Linked DNA regions of Cricetulus griseus. The protein of the gene in region 1 purifies or fractionates together with the protein of each later gene. This does not show direct contact. Links are inferred from orthologs where the notes say so. Each region holds a gene or a part of one and is shown on either strand. Other genes may lie near its edges.

Evidence for each region.
Region 2: the proteins of Tubgcp3 (region 1) and Lgals3bp purify together in Homo sapiens (affinity purification with mass spectrometry; 4 studies listed by BioGRID and IntAct, counting the BioPlex papers as one, with this or other methods). This does not show direct contact. The link is inferred for Cricetulus griseus from reciprocal best matches to the Homo sapiens genes TUBGCP3 and LGALS3BP.

What each region holds. Positions count from the first base shown.
Region 1 is NW_023276807.1:68,080,180-68,086,905, reverse strand, and holds part of Tubgcp3 (gamma-tubulin complex component 3), read right to left. Parts: intron 4,252-6,726; coding exon 4,144-4,251; intron 494-4,143; coding exon 426-493; intron 1-425. UniProt on the Homo sapiens protein: Component of the gamma-tubulin ring complex (gTuRC) which mediates microtubule nucleation.
Region 2 is NC_048600.1:130,943,450-130,950,796, forward strand, and holds the start of Lgals3bp (galectin-3-binding protein), read right to left. Parts: upstream 4,130-7,347; 5' UTR 3,967-4,129; intron 1,102-3,966; 5' UTR 1,080-1,101; coding exon 1,028-1,079; intron 109-1,027; coding exon 1-108.

The sequences.
Region 1 (6,726 bases):
AAATATTAGATTAGGACAATTTTCAAGTATCAGTATCTAATTGCAAAGGGTTCAAAAACTTCTTTCCCCTTTAGTTATTCACTACAGGGATAAAATGAGTTGCTCACAGATAACTGCACCAACCATGGGAGCTTCTGCAGTGGCGGGGACAGGCCTTGACATCCACCAGTGTGCCTACTCCTTGCAATGTCATCAAAGCCACTGCAGTGCTAACTGCAGAGTCCAATTCCTTTCCTACAGGACACATCACAAGTTTCACAGAAGTTCAGCTGACACTTAGTTCTAATACTGGCCTCTGAAGAGGAAATGCTATCTACACTAAAAGCCATTTGTGACTACAGGGAGTTTTAGAAGACAGCACCCAAGGATGGTCATGCATTCCCAAGCTATTCTCCATTCACAGCCATCAGAACATTTCACTGTACCTGGGTATGAAGTTTTCTGTGCAGCTCTGAAAACAACGCAGCATCTGCTTCTCTCCTTTGTCGAATAACTGAAAATGTAGAAAAGGAATTGAGCATATTAGTTGCATGCACCAAGATTCAGTGTTAGGAAATCATTTCATCTGTGCTAACAGACAGGGCAGTGCTGGAAGAATCCTGCCTAAGAAACCAAAGTACAGGACCACGAGACTTTCAGCAATGTTGATTTAGTCAGCTCATCCAGCCCCTCTGTGCATGTAAAACAGGAAGACTATCGGGCTGGGATGAAGAGAGGGCTGTCTGCAAATACTGATCCACAGCCAGGCAAACTATCAACTCTACTAATTAATAACAGTTACCTGGAGGGACAGAGGGAGGGGGGATGGGGGAGGGGGAGGGGGAGGGAAGAGGGACAGAGAGACAGAGGGATGGATCATGAATTCACATGATGACCATACATGACAGTCCATCTGATTTAAAAAGCCACATTCTAGCCAGGTGTGATGATACATGTCTTTAATCCTGGCACTCAGAAGGCAGGGGCAGGAGGACCTTTGTAAGTTCAAGGCCAGCCTTGCTGACCAAACAGAGCTACACAAGGACAAGACCTTGTCTCAAAAAAAGTCACATTCTAACATTTTTGCTAAGATGTGCAGCAGTAGTCTATCTTGCTTCAGTATAAAATAACCATTGTCTCAAACTAAGTATCAACTTACTATTAATTTTATTTTCAATATTTTATTGTTCATTATTGCTGATTATTTTATTAATGATTAATTGTATCATTAATTTTCATTTTAGTAATAAATGTCTGGATATTCCAGTTCTGCTCACAAATCATCATAAGCAGCAGTAATCAGTGGCAAATTCAGTCTATGTTCTGTTCCATGATAAAGCAGAATCTACAGACCAGACATGGGTCCCTTGAGGAACACACTGTACACAGAGGCCTCTAAAGAAAATTATACTGCCTACTAGCAAAATGTAACACAACAGCTATCTTTAAAACACAGAAATGGCTAAGCAGTGGTGGTGCACCCCTTTAATCCTAGCATTCGGGAGGCAGAGACAGGTAGATCTCTGTGAATTTGAGGCCAACCTGGTCTACAAAGAGAGTTCTAGGACAGCCAGAGCTGATATACAGAGAAACCCTGTCTTGAAAAACAAACAACAAACAACAGAAATAGACTCCACAAAAATACAGTTATGACATTAAGCAGTTGATGTTCTTTGTGAAGTTGAGAACTGTTGCTAGGCCAGGCAGGAAGGAGTGGAGTGACATGAGACCTCAATGCATCCCTTAAGATGGCAGGTCATTTCAGTTCGATGCATCTTCTGTTTGTAGGATGCATTTTCCTATCACAATTTTCCAACCATAGTTGACCATGGGTAGCTTAAAACCAAGAAAGGAAAGCAGCTGATAAGAGAGGACCACTGCAGGCGCACACTGTAGGTATGACCACTGAGTCACGCCAAGGCTGCCATTCTAGCTGCTGGGTTCTTAGAGAGTCACCCACTCAAGTTCTCAATAGGCAGAGGCACTAGATCCAATCATTCTGGGGCGAAAGCCTCAGATATGTCACCAGTCAATACTCCCCAACTCTGTGTTACAACTATGAAAGATCACTGGCCCATGCAGTTCCTCATGCAACAGCTCATGGCAGGATACTATGCCATGTAGAATGACTTCCTAGGAGTGCTATTGCCAGTCTGTCAAACATTTAGAAACAAAATCAAAGCCTACCTCATTTGGGCAGTTTAATAGTAGGTCCCAGGAGGAAGAAGCTGATAACATCAAAGGCAGGTTTTTCAATCCCACTGAAAGGCCCCTACTGCAGCATGCTAGCACTCCAGCAAAATACTCTCTCCAGCCAGGCCCAGATTGTCGAAGACTGCCTGCTACTCAGAGCCTAGACTCCACAAAGCACTTCAAAGGCTGAGAGGGAAGGATAGCTGGCCTCACCCAACCCAACTACTACAACTAATCCAAGTGTCATGAGTGGAGAGCCGCCTTCTCCAAGGTGCCACATCTAAGACAGCCATAAGTACCATCTCAGAAGTAAAATGCTTGCACAGTTCTGAAGTACTGAAACTCTGAGGGCCAATGAAAGAAGCAATGATGCCTCATAGAGACTGGTTAACTGGGATATTAGGATATGGAATTCAGAGAGGCAAGAGGTGACAGTGAGTCCTTTTATCTTTCGTATTCTAAAACTAAATTACAGTGTTATGAAACATTTAAAATAAACTTCCACTAAAAACAATGGAATCTTGAAATTCTCAGGCAAATGGATGGAACTAGGAGAAACTATCCTGAGTGAGGTAACCCAGTCACAAAAAGACAAAAATGGTATGTACTCACTCATATATGGATTTTAGACATGGAGCAGGGGATTACCAGCCCACAATTTACACTGACAGAGAAGGTAGGAAACAAGGAGGAACCTAAGACAGACATACATGGTCCCCCGTAGAAGGGGAAAGGGACAAGATCTCCTAAGCTACCGGGAATCATGAGAGGAGGGGAGAGGAAATTAGAAGAAAGAGAAGGGGAGAAGGGGAGAAGGGGAGGGGAGAGGAGGACATAGGGAGCAGGAAGATCTAGTCAGGGGAGGAATGGAGGGGAACAAGAAAAGGGATACCATCATAGAGGGAGCCATTATAGATTTAAAGAGAATTCTGACACTAGGGAAATGTCCAGAGACCTACAAGGTTGACCCCAGCTAACAATCTAAGCAATAGTCCAGAGGCTACCTTAAAAGCCCTTCTCAGATAATGAGATTGATGACTACCTTATATGCTATCCTAGAGCCTTCATCCAATAGCTGATAGAAGCAGAAGCAGACACCCACAGCTAAACACTGAGCTGAACTCTGGAATCCAGTTGCAGAGAGGGAGGAGTGATGATCAAAGGGGTAAAGACCAGGCTGGAGAAACCCACAAAAACAGTTGACCTGAACAAGGGGGAGCTCATGGACCCCAGACTCATAGCTGAGAAAGCAGCATAGGACTGTTCCAGACCCCCTGAAGGAGGAAGTCAGTTTGGATGTCTGGTTAGTCTATGGAGCCACTGATAGTGGATCAGTATTTATCCCTAGTACACAATGAACTTTGGGATCCTGCCCCACATAGAGGGATACTCTCTCAGCCTAGACACACTGGGGAGGGTATAGGCCCTGCTCCAAATGATATGACAGTCATTGAAGATCCCCCATGGACGGCCTCACCCTTCCTGGGGAGCAGAGGGGTTGGGATAACGGGGTCAGTGGGGGGCACGGAAGGAGGGGAGGGAGAGGAAACTGAGATTGACATGTAAAAGAAGCTTGTTTCTAATTTAAATAAAAAATAAATTACAAAAAAAACAAAAAATAAAAAAATAAACTTCCACTATATTTTAGTAATTTTAATGCCAAGACAAAATTGAACTGTCCTTATTTTTAATAGTATCTGTAACTAAAACATGCTTGAAAAAAAAAACATACGCTCATATGCACATGTATATATGGGTATATATGCAAACATGCATACACAGATATGCACATGCATACATGGGTGGATACATGAACACAGAAGGCACATATACACACATGTGTATACCCATGAGCATGCACACATATATCACATGCAGGTAGACACACATATGAGCATACACATACACATATCACATATTCTTGAGTTTTCACGTTTCATAATCCAACACATAATAAAGAAAAATACATACGTTCTTTCTTGATTTTTTCAGCTACTAGAAATTCATCTCTTTCAACAGTTGGAGCAAAGTTGCTGCCGATGACTCTCACAGCAAACTGGAACTGCTGGGCAACATCAGCTGGAAGGTGAGCAGAGGGTGCAAGTTACAGCAGGACAGTTTTCATCACCAGAGCACACAGCTCAAGAGAACAGGAGTTGGAGATCTGAAGAGCCTGTTGACATCAGACATGGAGATACAGTCTGGAGTTTACCCTGCTGGTTTTCAGTCTTGCTTTGGTCCAGTATTTCCTCATTATGCTCCCTTTCCTCCCTTTTCGAATGGTAATGTTATTCTGTGCCATTGTATGTTGGAAGCATGTGAGCTGCTTTTTTATTTTGGTTTTACAGGAGATTACAGTTAAAAGATTGTAATGTGTCTCACAAGAGACTTTTGGACTTTTGTTTAGACTGTTATTAACTATGAGGAATTATGACGTTTGATTGAATGCATTTTTTTAATTATAATATGACTATAAGCCTATAGGTGCCAGGAATTGGAATGTGGTGGAATGAAAAGGAATGGCCCCATAGCCTTTTATTTTTGAAAGCTTGGTGTGGTAGTTAGAAAGGAAATGGCTCCCATTGGTTCACAGAAATGGCAACATTAGGAGGTGTGTCCTTGGTGGAGTAGGTGTGGCTTTGTTGAAGGAGATGTGTCACTGGAGGTGGGTTTTGAGGTTTCAGAAGCTTAAGCCAGGCTTAGTGACTCACTGTCTCTTCCTACTGCCTGTGGATTAGAACTCTCAGATACCTCTCCAGCACCATGCCTGCCTGCAGGCTACCACGCTTCCCATCAAGACAATAATGGACTAAACCACTGAACTGTAAGCCAACCCCAATTAAATAGTTTCCTAAACAAAGAGCTGCCATAGCCCAGCCGCAGCAGTGGTGGTGCACATCTTCAATCAGCACTCAGGAGGCAGAGGAAGGGGATCTTTGAGTTTGAGGTCAGCCTGGTCTACACAGTGAGTCCCAGGACAGTCACAGCTACACAGAGAAACCCTCTGTTGAAAAAACACACAGAATAAACTAAAGTAAGATTTGCAGTGGTCATGGTGCCTCTTCACAGCAATAAAACCCTAAGACATTTGGCCAATAGGGAGTAGCACTACTTGAGAAGGATTAGGAGGTGTGGCCTTGTTGGAGAAAGTGTCACTGCGGGGTGTGCATTTAGGTTCCCAAAGCCCAAACCAGGCCCAATGGCTCTTGTTCTTCCTGCTGTCTGCAGATCCTTCTCCTGTTCCATGTCTGCCTCCCTGCCACAATGCTTCCTGGCATGTTAATAATGGACTAACCCTCTGAAACTGTAAGAAAAACCCAGTTAAATGCTTTCCTTTGTAAGAGACGCCACGGTCATGGTGTCTCTTCACAACAATAGAACAGTGACTAAGAGACCCTCATAATATGAATGTAAACTACAGTCCAATTTTAAGTTTCTGAGGTCTTAAAATTTTCAACATTTTATTAAGTGCAAAAAACTGAACTGTGAACTCTTATAAAACCAAACACAACTTAGCTCTAACATATTGCACAGAATAAACACTCCAACTTCAAAATGGAACAATCAAGGCATAGCAATGAATAATCAAACCCGAACTCCAAATCCAATATGGCCAAAACCAAAGCCTGCAGCTCCATGGCCAGCATCTGGCGATCATGATGAGATGGGCTGGACTCCAAGGGGTTCAGAAAGCCCTGTTCCTCAGCCCTTCCACTTTTGGCACACACAGCCACTACCAGGACACTTCTCCATTCCCTTCTTTCCAGAAGTTACCACTCTTCCCATGGCTAGCCCCCGTTCATAGGGCCAATGACAACAATCTATTTTTTTCTCCTAGCAACCTGCCTTCTCTGCCTGCTCAAGGAACAGGTACCTGAGGTCTACAGACTGGCAGCTAATGAAATGCTTCTTCACCCACACCTTCCACTGAGCGTGAACCCACCAACTCCTGACTCTCCCCTCCCCCACATTGTCCCTTGTCAGCAGGAAGAAGCCAGACGTGAACCAGTGTCCATACATCCAAAGAGTCTGGGATATTATTGTGGAAGCTTCACCTCAGCCCCCGGCATCCATACACCCTGAGTCTGGAATGCTATGGTAGAAGTTTCACCCAAGCCTCCCTCTCCTAGCCCCCTATCTCTATCTCTCCGAACCCAGCTGCATCTCAGAAAGCCTGCCAAATGATGACCCCTCCCCTAGAGATGCTCAAGACCACTCCCACAGGGTATTTAAACTGCCTCCCAGAAAACTCATGGTTTTTCCAGTCTCTCTTTCCTGTGTCCTCTCTGGAGGGCTGGAAGGCCATCTGGCAACACTGTATCCATTAAATGTGGGCTTTTTCTAATTTGGTTTGATTTGGTCTGATTTGGATCCCTAAATCAGTGGAGAGGCTTATCAGGTATAAAAACTTTTCATAAATAACAACAGACTTGGTATGAGGTGTGGTTACTCTTGACCCTCAAGGCTGGCAACAGGTGTGGTTACCAAATGCTTGGAGGATTAAGGGAAGAAGGTCTGTTTGCTCATTATACAAGATAATAGAAGTCTTCTGCC
Region 2 (7,347 bases), on another chromosome or scaffold:
TCCAGAGGTTGTCACACACTGTCCCCCACTGGCCTCTGTAGAAGATCTCCACGCGGCCCTCACTGGCTGAGGCTCCATTAACCAGACGCATGTCCCCATCTTCGGTACCTGCCAGGAAAGCGGAGGTCAGACGGGAGGAGGGCTGGCCTGTTTTGGTGCCCACCCCCAGGACTTCGATGCTTTGTGCTGTTCTGCTGGGTGAAGGCTGCCCCAACTGGGGTGCAATGGCCTTCTAGAGTTGGTCTTGAACCACTTCCATGCCCCCTCTCCAGGTGTGAAAAGTTATCCACTGAGGAGGTGTGGAAGCTCTGTGAGGGCCCACAAGGAGGCTGTGGCCTTTCTATCTCTCAGTACTGGGCCTTTTGCTACAAAGGAACACCTCAGATCTCCAGCCTGCAGAGTGGAAGTGGTGGCCCCCGGAGGATCTGGGAGGGGAAGTGGTCCCTTGCTGGCTCTTGGAATACTGGCCTGAGGGGACAGGCAGACACAGGCAGAGAGAGATGCCCCTCAAACCTACAGCATCAGTCTAAAGCAGACAACCCTGAACCACAGACAGTCTGCACTCAGGCAACGGGCTCCTGTCCCCCACTCTCTGGGGCTCCTATCTCTGCCAGTGCTCAGAGGGCCAGCAAGTAGCTGGGTGCTTGAATTTGGGGGTCACCCATGCTAAAGAGGGATGCTCAGCTGAGGGTGCAGGATGACTACCCTCAGGGACTCTCTGAATTCTAACCTGTGCCCTGAGGCCTCCATTCTAGGTTAGCACAGGCCCAGAACGCCCTCCTTGGCCCAAGGATGAGATGGGAGGTTCCTGGGCATTTCTCCATCACCTGAGTTTCACTTGGGCCCAGGTGAGCCCGAGGGCCCACACACCACCATTACTTGGAATGACTGGGGGTCCACATGGAGAGAATCCCGAGACACAGCACCTCACATCTGGGTTTTCTGCAAGGAGGGGGTGACCCACAGAGCGAAGTGCAGTAGCCTTGAAGACCTCTATTTTGGACATTTCCCAGCAGGCATGACTCACCTTGAGTTCCCGGAACCAGCAACCACAAAGAAAAGAGCCACAGGAGAGCCATTGCCTGGCCCAGAAGTCCAACCCTGCAGCGGAAGGGACAACAGAGTGAGGCTGGTAAGTTCTCCCTGGAAATGAGCAGTTCCACGGTCCTCTCGGCCCTGCTTGTGGGGGACAGGGCAGTTTTGAGGGCGGCCTCTCTTCTACAGGGCCTAGATGACAATGTGAGGCCCTCACGCAGGCCTCTCACATGCTCTGGGGACAACCTTCAGGTCAGTGAGATTTCCCAGGTGGAGCTCCTGGCAATGAGGACCCAGGAAGCACAAGGGGCTGTCCCTTGGGAAAGGACAGGGTGTAAGCCTGTTAACAGTTGGCCTTATCTTCAGGCAACAGCCCCTCTGTGTGGTGTGCCCCAGAGGCATGAGAGACACCAGTGGGAGGAGTTGTGGATGAGGTTGGAACAGGGGTCTCCTCCCTCAGGAGGGGAGTGACAGAAACAGTGCAGAAGGGCCTGGGCTCCAGTGGTGTGAAGCGGGGGTGGGTGGAGGTGTGAAGGTGTGAAGGGAGTGGGGTGGGAAGGGGTGAGGGGGTGGGTGGGAGGTGTGAAGGGGTGGGTGGGAGGTGTAAAGGGAGTGGGTGGGAGTGTGAAGGGGGTGGTGGGAGGTGTGAAGGGAGTGGGTGGGAAGGGTGAGGGGGTGGGTGGGAGGTGAGGGTGGGTGGGAGGTGTGGGGGGTGGGTGGGAGGTGTGAAGGGAGTGGGTGGGAGGTGTGAAGGGGTGGGTGGAGGTGTAAAGGGAGTGGTGTGTGAAGGGGGTGGGTGGAGGTGTGGGGGTGGGTGGGAGGTGTGAAGGGGGTGGGTGGGAGGTGTGAAGGGAGTGGGGTGGGAAGGGGTGAGGGGGTGGGTGGGAGGTGTGAGGGGTGGTGGGAGGTGTGAAGGGGTGGGAGGGAGGTGTGAAGTGGGGGTGGGTGGGAGGTGTGAAGGGTGGGTGGGAGGGGTGAAGGGGTGGGTGGAGGTGTGAAGTGGGTGGGTGGGAGGTGTGAAGGGGGTGGGTGGGAGGGGTGAAGGGGGTGGGTGGGAGGGTGAAGGGGGTGGGTGGGAGGTGAAGGGGGTGGGTGGAGGGGTGGGGGGTGGGTGGGAGGTGTGAGTGGGGGAGTGGGGAGTGGGAGGTGTAAAGGGAGTGGGTGGGAGGTGTGAAGGGGTGGGTGGGAGGTGTGAAGTGGGTGGGGTGGAGGTGTGAAGTGGGGGTGGGTGGGAGTGTGAAGTGGGATGGTGGGAAGGGTTTGAGGGGGTGGGTGGGAAGGGGTGAGGGGGTGGGTGGGAGGTGTGAAGGGGTGGGTGGGAGGTGTGAAGGGGTGGGTGGCAGGTGTGTCAGGGTCAACTCCTAATATGCTGCCAGCTCTAAGCAGGTGGGCAGAGAGGGACTCAGTCCTTAGGCTATGGCCTAAGCTCTTGCCTATCTTTAGGCTGTGCCCCTCACCCAGGCACTGGCCCTCATCCCTGCAAGGATGTGGACGACCACAGTGCAGGAGGCCTGGTGACACCCACTCCACTCCCAGCAGACAGGAGAGCTTGGCTCTGGCTAGCGGGTGGTGCTATTAGGAGCACTATCTACTGGGCAACAGCTGGTAACCTCAAGTTGTTTCTTTGTTACTCAGACCAGGGGCCCGGGGATGTGCACCAGAGATAGCCCAGGAGCAGTAGAAATACAGGGTTGCCCCTCACCCCCCATACCCTTCTGCCACCCCTGTCCCAGACTTCTACACTAGACCAGTATGAAGGACCTCAGGGTCCCAGCCCACTTGTAGCCATCCTGGCAGGGGTGATGATGTTCAAAGAGAGACTTGTGCCCCTCCCTTTGACTACTGAAACAAGGCACCCCAAGGAGCTGGAATTCCCCCAGGAGTCTCATGCTGAGAGGAGAAAGCTGAATTGTGGTGACAGCTTCACTAGGGGGAGCTTGTCTCCAGGAAAGAGACTGACAGCCCAGGCAATGACCAGGCTAGCTGAGTTTTCCACACCTCTAGCCCTCTGTTTAAATCTAGACCTCATGTTAGTACCCCCTAATGGACTCAAGGGGGAGGCTGGATCTGTGCTCATCTTCTCCACGTGGTCCCATCAGGTAAAGCTCCTGTTTATGTTTCTCACTATTGTATCTTTAACTGTACCACAGAGGATGCGCGGCTGAGCCTGGTATCGGGGGAGCTGTCTGGGCACAGACTCTGACCATCGAGTCCTGTAACACGCCGGGGTGGGAAGCTCGTTGCTGGGCACCCTCCCCACCACACTCAGCAGGTCCCCCTCTGCAGCCTTCTAAAGCCAGCCATAGAGTAAACAAGACCCCAGGCGAGTTTCCACATCCCAAGACACTCTGAAGCTAGAGGGTCAGCTGTCTCCAGGTCACACAGCTAGTGAGCCCCAAGTTGGGGTCTGCCCAGGGGGAGCCATCTTGTACCATGCAGACCCTGGCAGAGGCAGAAGGAGCATCTGTGTGCTGAGACATCACCCCAGCTTAATCCCAGGGAACCCTGTGTTCTGGGAAACCTGAGTTCCAAGGAAAACTGCCCCAGGTGCCCATCCTCTGCACTGACTACAGGCTGTGGCCATAGGTTTGTCCGTGCCGGGTCAAGAGCTCTAGGCCTTGGGAACATTGCAGGTACATGGATGTGGTTGTCCTCTGGATGGCAGAGGATGTTTCTGTGTGACTCCTTTGTGTGGGAAGTTGGGACAAGTCTGCCTCTGCTGGCCCATTCGGTACCTCTGTGTAGGTAGGCACAGGCCTGGGCAAGAGCACACAGACCCAGGAGAGGGCCAAGGGCTCGATTCTGACACACTTCTCCCTTCAGCAAACACCCACCCAACTGCATAGAGTTCTCACACATCTAGGAGGAGCACCATGGCTCCCGTGCTCAGCGGCCTGCCAGTGATCCGTGCTGTGTAGAGTGGGGACTCACCTGGAAGCCAGAGACAGGAACTACCTGTCTGTGAGGGGCTGAAGATGGTCCCGGAGCCTCCCTGCTGGCTGCAATCAGAAGCTCTTTGTAGACTGTTCGCGGAGACAGGCACCACCATGTGGTTTTCCTCAGCCTCGTCCCAGGAAATGCTTTATAAACCTTGTCTAGTTTCGGTTTCCAGAAAACACATGACAGAGGTTGCTTCTGGGGTTGGCTGCAGACAAGGCTAGCAGCCCCAAGCTTACTTGCTGCTCTGTTGGTATGGCAGGCACCCAAGTGCCCTATGGCTAAGCAGATAAAACAATAATGTTCAGTCACCTAGGCTACAGCTATGTTTTACCAAATTCATGTTCAGGCTGGCCAGGCAGGCACCCTGGGGATTGGGGGGGGGTGATGCAGTGGGCCTGGAGCAGAGGCTCAGGGGGAACAGACTGTGTCTATGGGTATGGTTGAGGGCTGCGCAATCCTTGCCTGGACCTGGGGAAGCAGGCTGTGTTCCTCATGCACAAACCTACTGCAGGGGAAAAGGGCCAGCCAAAGAAACACACTTTAGCCCTGCAACCAGAACCAAAGAAATGCACACTGACCCTGAAAACAGTGCCAAAGAAACTCATTTTGTCCCTGGAATCAGAGCCAGTGAAAGAAACACACACGCCCTAAAATTAGAGCCCAAAGCCTAAAAGGGACCAGTGAAAGAAACCAGAGCCCTGAACCTGAGCAGAAAACCAACTGCCCTGACCCGTGGGGAATCACGCGAGCTCACCACCCCCCCCCCATGTGCTGCAGTCACCAAAGAACCTAGAACGGTAGGGTCAGGGGGAACAAAGAACGACAGTAAGACAGGTTTCTAATCAAGCTACAAATTTTTATTTTTCACAGGGACCTGATATAGGGGTGCCAAGCGGGGAGCTTGGCAGGAAGGGAGAGGTTGTTTGAGGCTGCCTGCCTGATAACCGGGCTGAGGAATGTCCCTGTGCGTGAGTCCTTGAGAGTGCAGGAGGTTACCAAGGTCTCAGGGTGCTGGTGTTAGATAATGGGTTAGATGTGGGGGACCAAAATCTTTCAGCTATGGAATATTTTGAGTTCCGGCCTTTGGTTTCACCACTATTGCATTAATTGCCACTAGGCTACTACTGTTTACCATAGCCTGAGGGTAATATGCCTCCTAATTTGCATCTCTGTAGTTTAAGCCTTGAATAGGCCCTCACCTGGGCGGAGGAGAGAGAGGTATGAGTAACTTGGGAGGACAGAAAGTTGGGAGTTAAGAGGCTCCCTGCCAGAGCAGCGAGGAAACAAAGAGAGAAATGGTTGCCTTATAGTATTAGCAGCATGGTTAAGAGACACCAGAAAAGATGGCTAATAAAGAAATGACTCTAGTTCCACAACATGGAACTGAGAGCTCTCTAAAGATGACAAGATGCCTGTGTTTGGTCTTTATCGCCGTCCACACCCCCCACTCAGGTAGAACCTCATGGACTAAGGCTGAGACAGTTAGAAGGGGGAAGGGTTGCTAGGTAACCTGACCATGAAATGTATCTTTCCTTCTATAAGCTACTTCATGAGCCCAGACATTATGTATCAGGGAGGAAAGGATTAAAGGCAGCTATTCTTTTGATTATAGTGTGCTTATACTGGCAGCTTCTGCCCAAGTCTCTTACAGGTCCAAGGTTACTTTTGCCATGGCCCCCAACAACCAACCAATCCCTGAGCACCAGATCCAGTCAATCTGAGCTCAGAGATTGAAATCTAATCAATCCCCACCCTAGAAATCTCCCTGGAAAAACTCCTCCCCTAAGAAGCCCCATATAAACCCTGTGTCTGTTCAGCTTGTGGCTGTTAGGCTGTCCCCCTGCCTTCTTCCACCCTGGAAGAAGTAGCCACTCTCCTGGATTTTCCCCTCCCAATAAATGTCTTGAATGAGGTTTGGGTGAGACCTTCCTTTGCCAGAATGGAGTGGAGGAGAGAAGTAAAAACTTTTCAGCAGAGCCCAGCAGAGCAGAGAGGAGCAAACTGTAACAACCTCGCAGGGGAGACCCTCCCCTGCTGGAGCAGAGCTGTTACACTGGGGAAGCCTTTCCCTGGTGCAGGACTGTAAGCTGCTATGCTTACTGTGACCTGTGGTATTCTTTGGCTCCCAAGTGCCAGAATACCTTTCCATCTGAGCTGTAACACACAGTATTCTGTGACTCCCCAGTGCCAGATCCTCCCTGGCCATCCCATCCCATCTGCCCTTGAAACGCTTACACAAACTGTGCTGGGAGTGGAGGTACGTGGACCACAGAGTGGACCACGCCCGAGGGACAGGTTTAGAGACAAAAAGACCAAAGATAGAGTGCAGGGTTGGGAGCTGGGGTGGTTTAGTGGCTGAGAGTACGGCCTTGCCCTTACCTGAGTTCAACTCCCAGCACCCATGTTGGTTGGCTCAGAACAGCCTGTAACTCAGCTCCAGGAGAATCTGATACTTCTGGCCTCTGAGGGCACCCACACTCAAGTGTGTGCGTACACACACACACACACACACACACACACACACACTTAAAAAACTAAATCTTAAAAGGTTCTTACAATACCTAGTTTAAAGGGGGAAAGCAGGGCTAATCAGGCATGGTGGCACACAGCTTTAATTGGGAGGCAGAGGCCCGTGGATCTTGTGAGCTGGAGGCTAGCATGGTTTGCATGGTGAGTGGGTAAGGGCACTTGCTAGCCAATCCTGATCATATGAGTTTGGTCCCTGGAACTCAGTGTAGGAGAAAACTGACTCCTGCAAGTTGTCTTCCAATCTTGGCATGTGTACCATGGCACATATGTGAGCACATGTGCACACGCACGTGGTCACAGACAGTAAATAAATGTAAAAGGTAAAATAAAAACCAAAGAGCACTGGAGGGATGGCTCAGTGGTTAAGGACACTTATTGCTCTCGAAGAGGGCCTGGTGGGGCAGGGTATAGAACACCAAATGTTCCACCTGGCTCACACCCATTCCCCTTCACCCACAAAACAAAAAACAAAACAAACCCAACCACACCTTAGTTCCGACTTGGGGAGTTCTCTGTCCAGAGCATCTCAGCCTGGGATGGCCAGAATTACCTGTGACAGACACCAATGTCCACATCAGCCTGTGGGAGAGCTGGTGTTTTGGAAGCACCAAGAAATTCTGATGTACAGCCCCTTTGGATTCACCCCAAAGCTGTGAGCCCCAGAACCCAGAGGTAGGAATTCAATGGCCGGTTCCCCTGAGACATGCAGTTTCCAGGGACTCTGGGTCCCTGCAGTCCTGGGAAAACCATGTGGAGAGCTATAGCAGAGATGTCTGCTAGATGCACTGGGGGCTAACTAACTTGTGGCTTCTGGAGGATGGGGTGCTGGCCTGCCTGGTGCCT